Bombyx mori: one gene and its partner. Each later gene encodes a partner of the first gene's protein in a complex. Links are inferred from orthologs where the notes say so. Each region holds a gene or a part of one and is shown in the gene's direction. Other genes may lie near its edges.

Evidence for each region. Proteins that work in one complex are often made in the same cells at the same time.
Region 2: bromodomain-containing protein 8 (region 1) and vacuolar protein sorting-associated protein 72 homolog share a complex: the UniProt entries of both Homo sapiens proteins name them as parts of the nuA4-related complex. The link is inferred for Bombyx mori from reciprocal best matches to the Homo sapiens genes BRD8 and VPS72.

Annotation. Positions count from the first base shown.
Region 1 is NC_085117.1:1,939,428-1,943,640, reverse strand, and holds the start of bromodomain-containing protein 8, read left to right. Parts: upstream 1-1,317; 5' UTR 1,318-1,669; coding exon 1,670-1,854; intron 1,855-3,130; coding exon 3,131-3,311; intron 3,312-4,117; coding exon 4,118-4,213. Other genes in the region: uncharacterized protein LOC101740762, read left to right, coding at 1-121. UniProt on the Homo sapiens protein: May act as a coactivator during transcriptional activation by hormone-activated nuclear receptors (NR). Isoform 2 stimulates transcriptional activation by AR/DHTR, ESR1/NR3A1, RXRA/NR2B1 and THRB/ERBA2.
Region 2 is NC_085112.1:12,270,666-12,274,893, forward strand, and holds the start of vacuolar protein sorting-associated protein 72 homolog, read left to right. Parts: upstream 1-1,385; 5' UTR 1,386-1,541; coding exon 1,542-1,672; intron 1,673-2,622; coding exon 2,623-2,746; intron 2,747-3,080; coding exon 3,081-3,216; intron 3,217-3,558; coding exon 3,559-3,735; intron 3,736-4,228. UniProt on the Homo sapiens protein: Deposition-and-exchange histone chaperone specific for H2AZ1, specifically chaperones H2AZ1 and deposits it into nucleosomes.

The DNA of each region.
Region 1 (4,213 bases):
ATATTTGTCCGAAGACGTCATGAGGCCTAAAGGACGAATGTCAAAATCTGATGACATTGACACCGTGTTGAAGTTTATTTACGAGAGGCAGAGGGGAAACTCGGCGGGACATAGCTCATAAAATTAACTAAAGAAAAACTAAGTTTCAAGTTACACACAAAATATATGTATCTAAAATTTGAGAGAAATTAATGTGAGATATTATTTTATTTTCCGGAATTCCTTAAAAATAATTAAAAAGTCGTTTGAATGCTGATAATTAATTTCGTGTGACTCGTTTCAGGCCTAAATGACAAACATGACCCTAAACGCATACTGGGAATAATAACCTATAAGGACTTTAAAAGATTAGATTTTTAATTGTGTCGAATCGGTAGGCGATTCTAAGGCTCACTTGGCACGCGATTATCATCCCTAACGCCCCACGACATAGACAACTCAGTGGATTGTGGAAAATAGTGGAAATATTTTTTTATTTTTTTATATCTTAGATGGGTGGACGAGCTCACAGCCCACCTGGTATCAAGTGGTTACTGGAGCCCATAGACATCCACAACGTAAATGCGCCACCCACCTTGAGATATAAGTTCTAAGGTCTCAAGTATAGTTACAACGGCTACCCCACCCTTCAAACCGAAACGCATTACTACTTCACGGCAGAAATAGGCAGGGTGGTGGTGCCTACCCGCGCGGACTCACAAGAGGTCCTACCACCAGTAATTACACAGATTATAATTTTGCGGGTTTCATTTTTATTACACGATGTTATTCCTTCACCGTGGAAATCAATCGTGAACATTTGTTGAGTACGTATTTCATTAGAAAAATTGGTACCCGCCTGCGGGATTCGAACACCGGTGCATTGCTCAACACGAATGCACCGGACGTCATATCCGTTAGGCCACGACGACTTCAAAAAATATGTCATAGATCTATCTTATTTAAAAAGTGTATTAGAGTCTAACTATCATAGATTTATACACTTAATATATTCGAGATAACTATACTGAGACCTTAGAACCTATATCTCAAGGTGGGTGGCGCATTTACCTTGTATGGGCTCCAGTAACCACTTAACGCCAGGTGAGCTGTGAGCTCATTCCCCCATCTAAGCAATAAATAAAAGAAATAATAATAATTGAACACGCCAACTAACAAGCCGCTGAACGTAACTTCTCGGGATCCTCCAAAAATTTCACTGAAAAAGTCTACAATGAAATGACAACCATTTTAATGAGATTATATATTTTCTTCCTATATCATCTCATCTTAATTGATTTCTTTTTCATTCCATTTCGTTTTCATTTCATTTGATTTCATTTCATGCCATGTTTTATATTAATCAACTTCATTTATATGTAAAATTATAATATGAAATAAAATATTATAATTTTACATATAAAAAAGTTTTCATTACAATTAAAATAAGACTTGACCCGAAGGTCTTGATAACCAGGTCATTAAATACTTTAAAAAAAATATATTTGTTTTGTATCATGTTTGACGTTTGTATCATAGAATAAACACTTATTAATTGTGTTCTAAACAGTTAAATAATAAAATAAAAATAATATACTTTCAAAACAGTAAATACACATTACATGGACAATTAAACAACTATAAATAGTTATGTAATCTCGAAACTCCATTTCCAAAACATAACCTCAAAATGAGCTCGATACAAGAGCGTCTTCAGCTCAAAAGAGTTCCTCTGGACACTTGGAATATACGTGAACAGCTATGCCTGGCCTCCGCCGTGGTCAGAAGCGGGGATCAGAACTGGATGTCGGTTTCCCGCGCTCTAAAGACCCTTGGCGAGCCAAACAGGCCTCCGGACTGGTATTCCCAAAAAAGGTTTTGTTTTTCTTTTATATCTACTATATAATTATTGATACAGGTTTGAAATAGCTTGCGATAGTGAAGTGGTGGCTGAGTTGATGAGAAACACATTCGTTTTTACACATTTATTTTTTATTTTCAAACCATTTTTGCATTATTCACCAATGAAAATTCCACCACGCTTTCCACGTTATTTGAACTCGATAAAACTTAAAATTATATTCAGTAGAGCTATTATAGTATTTAGTAGGCTATAATAGGTCAACACACACTCCTCTCTCTCTCATATCGTCATTCACACACTCCATCCATGTCTTCTTTGGTCAAGTTTTCCCCCTCTACCTTGCACTACAATTTCCATAAATCTCCTAGTCTCATGCATCTCCTCTCTACGCATAACATGTCGATACCACGTGAACTGTCCGCTCTTTAAGTCTTTCCACTCGCTAAAAGACACCCTCTATAACTTTGACAACATTAGGATTGGTTAAACACAGCTCTTATATTATATGGCGGGTGGCCCCAATAATTAAATGTTCAAAAGAAATGTTAATACAACATTTTGACAAAACAATAACACCGAGTTAAACAAAATAAAATGAGATCATTGTCAAAAGCCAATTGAATATTCAATATTATAAATAATTTATAAAAATATATTATCAAATAAACTAAAATAAGTAGCATATATAGCAATAAGTTTGTTCTACACACACTTATCACATTTTATTATTATTCTCATTATCCTCTCGCAGGTCTGCTGGAAGAGATTTCTCAAAGAAATAAGTAGTGCCTTTGTACATAATTTTCCTATTACTCTGTACTGTGTCTTGTTTTCTGTGTGTACATAAATAAATAAATAAAATAAATAATAAAATAGCACTAGCTTTAAAATAAAATCATTTAATGTAATTACACTTTGGAAAGAGTTCTGATATAATGGCATATAAAAAGAGTCTAACTAAGTATGTACCTTCTTTATTTAAAATCTATGAAAAAATTTAAATTTTGCAGATTGCTCCTTAAATCCCCAGTAAATTAATCCTATTCATAAAAAAATTAACAAAATTACAAATAACTTATTTGAAAGACACTAAAGCTCTAATTAATTATATTCATTCTATTATTTTAAATAGTTATATTGTTTATGAGCTTATTCAATCCATATCAAACTGCGTAGATGTCATGTCTTCCTCTGAAGCATTGGATAGCTGAATGATAATGAGATTTAGATCTACAAGAACTGTGGGCTCCGTTATCCGTATGTCATTAACACATTTCCATCCATCAGCTGTGCTGCACAATATGGAACGCTATTAGAACATGTGGAAACGCCGAAACGAAAAAAGAGAAACTCTGACGGTGGCGTGGAAACTCCACAGGAGAGTATATTGAAACGTTTAACCCAAGATCGGATAGCCGAGATCCAGAAGAATATTGCTGAAATGAGTCAACAACATGAAGTAATGAAGGTATTTAATTTTCAAGTGAAACTTCTTTCTTTCTTCTTTATGAGGGTAAAATTTTTACAGAACGTCACGCAGGTATGCAACGGAAGGACATCAAACTACTATTAAAATTAAGTACTTGTCAAATGTCAGTAGTAGTAGTTGTTGTATTTTTCCAACTGGAAAGGCAAATGTATCATATCATACAGCCTAATATTTTATTTTTTTGTGAAAAATGTTAATAGGAATTGAAATGAAATGAAAAGAATTTGGAACATAGCATGAAATTAAATTAGTCAATTCAATTGGCAAAATATTAGTCATCTACAATTTAGAAATCTAAGCATAATGTGAATGTCAACACTGAGGTTTGAGATTGACATTTGACAGACTTTTGGCGGGAACATATCTTCCTTTTTCCCTTCTTCTAAGTCTTGGAAATCTAAAGTTTTAGATTTGCATAAATATAAGTAAGACTTATAAATTAGTTCGCCAAAAAAGTTTCACTTCTGACATGTGTACTTTGTACGCACGCACTTTTTTTTTTTTATAAATCTCAAGCTTTTTATAAAACTTTAAGTGCTGTCAGAGTTGTTAAGTATTGGCTAATATCTGACCATTTAGTGACAGTTCGGTGTCAACATCAACATCAACTTTTAAAAGGTTTTATAGCCTAGTAATGAGAGTTTTAAGTCAAAGTCTTATTTTTACACACCAGTGCATCGCTACATACGAATGCACCGGACCTCTTATCCTTTAGGCCACGACGACTTCACTTTGACTCATAAATATAAGCTAGTAATATATCTTTCTTTACCTTTGTACCACAGGATGAATTATCGGAGATCCGTAATCCTTCAACGTCTGATGAGCGTCTGCTTGAGCTCTGGGCCAACATGGAGTCCGCGAAACGGGCTAAAGAAAGA
Region 2 (4,228 bases), on another chromosome or scaffold:
AAGTAAATCGCAAGTAAATTATATTCCTCTAAAACAGTGAACGGAAAACATAATATACATCTGGCCGGGTAGTAGCTAAGATTTTATTATATGTTGATGTGTGTACGCAATGTAGAGGTCTGCCGTGATCAATATAAGTTTTTAAGACTACAATAAACAACATATTATTATATCAATGGCAGATCTGGTCAATTACTTTTAAAATTTTATTTTTTTAGCATTTTCAAAGTGGTCTGCCACAAAGTAAAATGCGCGGTAATGGTATGCCATTCTTATTTTCCGATAATAATAATCATATATTTTCAAAATTTCAAAACGGTAGACGTGGTCAAATGGATTTAAAATCCGTCAAAATCGGTACCTGTCCTACCTGAGCGCTCGGCGCGTCGACCACTTTGAGCTTAGTGAGTCCCCACCTCATGCATGGTAGGTATAGGGGTCTCAATGTACGAAAATTCAGGTCTGGTCAAATACATACAGGTAGAGTCCACGGGCTCTTGGGCTACAACGTTGAAAGACGCTTCACGTCAGCTTCCACTATTGCCTTTGTCTACTTTGTCGTTATTGATTTTAGTTTTCGGGTAATGACGAGAGGGAGAGAGAGATGAATATATTTTTTTTAGATCAAAATTTCGATGGCTGACTCGTTTAAACCAATAACGAGTTGTGTATTCAGTTTTAAATGTTGTGAGCCGTTTGGGCGGCAGTGCCACCGCGATGGATCTTTTATTCCATAATTACTCATATTTTTACGGTATCTACATTATTGAAAAGATACAAATAGTAAAAATAAAACATTAGGGAATAAACAATTGACTGAATTTCAAAATATTATCTATTTATTTAAATTAGTATTTATTGCCAGTCATACAAAAATTGCATTTCAAATGGCCAGTTCTCACGAACAGGAACTTCTTAGGCAAATACATATTATTTCCTACGATTATGAGAAAGGCTACGAAAAAAAATTTTTTTTGTGTGTATTGTTTCAATACAAACTCAATAAAAAGCAAATACAAATTGGTAAAATATCTTTAAAGATTTTTGAGGACCTGTCGTACATGCTGATGCATAATTAAAAAACGCGATTACGTACTACGTAGCTTGTATTTAAGTCTAATTAATTATGTTACCTACAACATTTGCGGTTAAAATAATAAAATAATAATTCTACGTGTTAGTTTTAGCGGGCTTTGTATCTATATATCTACCATATACTATTTAAATAGGTATGTGTACCTACTAATGTATATAAGACTGACAGTGGCTGTAGATCATAGACTTCAGTGCTGTAGATACATCTTCAATCCACCACAGTTAAATCTAAATTTGTCACTGTCTTTTTATAAGTTTGGCTGTATGATTGTTGTTCCCTTTAACAATACTATCAGAGAAATCGAGTAAACATACTGTGAATGTCAAATTTTGATTTTTAATAGTAACAAACAAAATTTTGTTTTTATTAACAACATTTATGAACTTCTTGACTGAAACTGATTCCTTAAAATTCTATATTAACAAAATTCGAGCTGTTTTACAAAATGGCTCAACGGGCACGAAGATCAAACGCTGGAAATCGTATGGCTAAACTCCTTGACGAGGAGGAAGAGGATGATTTTTACAAAACAACATACGGAGGGTTTAATGATGTTGAAGAGGACGTAGAATATCAGTATGTAATATCATAGTATTCATAGAATATACGTTGAATCTATTAAGCTTTTGGTTTCGGAGAACCGAGCCTAAACGACACTCCCTGAAAGGTACTTGCGAGTAGAAATGTGGGCTGATGAGTTACTTAGATTTTTTCCGCTGCTATCTAGCTAGTCTCTGAAAGTACAAGACAAAGGGCTTCGACATATAGCGGAAACTCTCACTTCTGAGAATCATGCTTTTCCAGTAAGGCAATCAATCACTTCTTGTTGTTAATCATAAGGTCGTAAGATATTTTGTCAAGTAGTCTGCAAATTCAGCACATTCCAGCAAAATGTTAGCTGCTGTCTCATTGCCTCCGTCTAACATATTGTATATAAACATTTGTTCAATTTTTTTGATCCATAATATCCTATAAAACTATGATTAAATCATAAAAAAATGTTAAAATAATAATGGCAGAGTTACATTAACAAAGTTAATCCTATAGAGAAAAAATAAGCTACGGAAACAAGCAAATTTACTGGCACCAAATAAATATTTGATATATTTTGGATATTCTTAGTGGTTTGCGATTCCAATCTGGTGGTAGAATCTGCAAAGTATTACTCTTGCCAGAGTTAGTGTTAGTAAATTCTTTAAGGTTGAGCCTGTGAGCTTATCTACTAGTCTGCGAGAAGCTGGAATAGACTCTTAACTTACAAGTGAATTTTTTCTTTCTTCTTTCCTATTACCCTCTGGTGGAGTGTAGTAGGGCTTGAATCAAATTCATCCATTTGCATAGTTCTTAGGCAGATGTGAATAGAATAATAAAAATAGAAGAAAAGTAGAACATGTGAATAGGTAGGGAAAAAGTTGTTAATATATAGTATAAAGTATATATTATAGCCTAATAAAATAGTTAATGAATTTACTTGACCCTTGCATTAAAATGTTCAGTGGTTAACTTTGAAATTTTTAACATTTTAGACAAGAAAAGGAAGTTGATGATGAAGTTGATTCAGATTTTGATATTGATGAGAATGATGAACCAGTGTCTGACCAGGAAGTTGAAGAAAAAGCTAAAAGAAAAGTTGGCACTAAAGCTTATAAGGTATAATTAAAATATTCTTCAATGAGTTTTATAGAGTTATCCTCAGTGGTAGGCACCATCCAGGATATGTCCCCTATATTATTTTGTAATGATTATTGATTAGCATTATCAGGTATGTTTGGTTTATTCTTTCAATAATCGTTTTGTATGTCATAATAATAAAACTGAGTAACCTTTTGCACTACACATCTTATAATTGAAACTAATATTACACTTGTATGAAATAGGCAGAAATTGTAAAACATTGAAATAGAATAGCGTAGATATATTTATAAATATGAACTGCCCAGACATTATTTCAAATAAAAATCTCAATGCAATAATGATATTTCAGGACCCCAATAAGAAGAAATTAAATGAAAAATCAAAAAAGACAGTCATCAAAAAATCCAAAGATGATAAATCTATAGAAGACAAAGTTGAAAAACAAAACAAAAGTGCCGTGGACAAAATTGTTGATACCTCAATAGGTAATTTTAAACTTTTCTTTTAATGATATACTTTATTTGGTGTCATTATAAATAAATAAAACAATAAGTTTTGCTTAAGTAACAGTAAGTTTTGTAGTAAGAGTAGTGTTGTATGAGAAAGGAAATTTGATTCATAGCTAAATCTCTCAAACCTCACCATACAAAATAAATATCTTAAGTCTTTATGAACCTGGCTAAGAAACTGAAATCGAATCAATTGCAAGAAAATAGTAAATGAATAAATAGTAAAAATGTAAATAGTTTGAACTGTAAAGAATTCACAACTAAAATGTATATATAATATAATATGTAAATAAATGTAGTCCTATTTTTTAACTGAAGAACGGAAGTCTATAAGACAAAGTACAGCTATGAAATCTGCCGAGACAATACAAAGGATAAAAATCAGGTCAGAGCTGAAAAAGAAGAAACCGAAGAAAGTAGAAGAGAAGATGCCGACCCAGGAAGAGCTGTTGGAAGAAGCAGTCGAGACAGAGAAAGAGAACTTAAAGAGTTTAGGTGAATATATATTTCTAATTGTATGAATGGGTGATAGAGCTTCAAGACATAGTAATTAACAGTACCTTGAAATACGAGGTCTTAATCTCAATTTTATTTTATAACGGCTGTATCGTTTTTCAAACCGGAATAAGCAGAGGGTTGTGTAGGCATCACAAGATGCCCACATGATGACCAGCAAGAATTACGTGAATTAAAATTTTCGTGCAAAGTTAAAGTACAACTTCAGGAATTCTCTAAACTTGTTCTGTTTTGTGAGCTGTCTCATACTTTGGAACATAAATCAGGATATTTTTAAAATTTTGATAAAATTGCCCATAAAGGGACTTATACTATTAACAAAAACCAAAAAAAAAATTTTTTATTCAACATAAATGAAAGTACATACTTGTTGAACGTCAAAAAGAACTACCACCAATTAACAAAAACTAGCCTCCGTCCTGAGAGGAACTGGCAAGAAACTCAGCTGGCGTCTTTTTCTTTTTTCTATAAT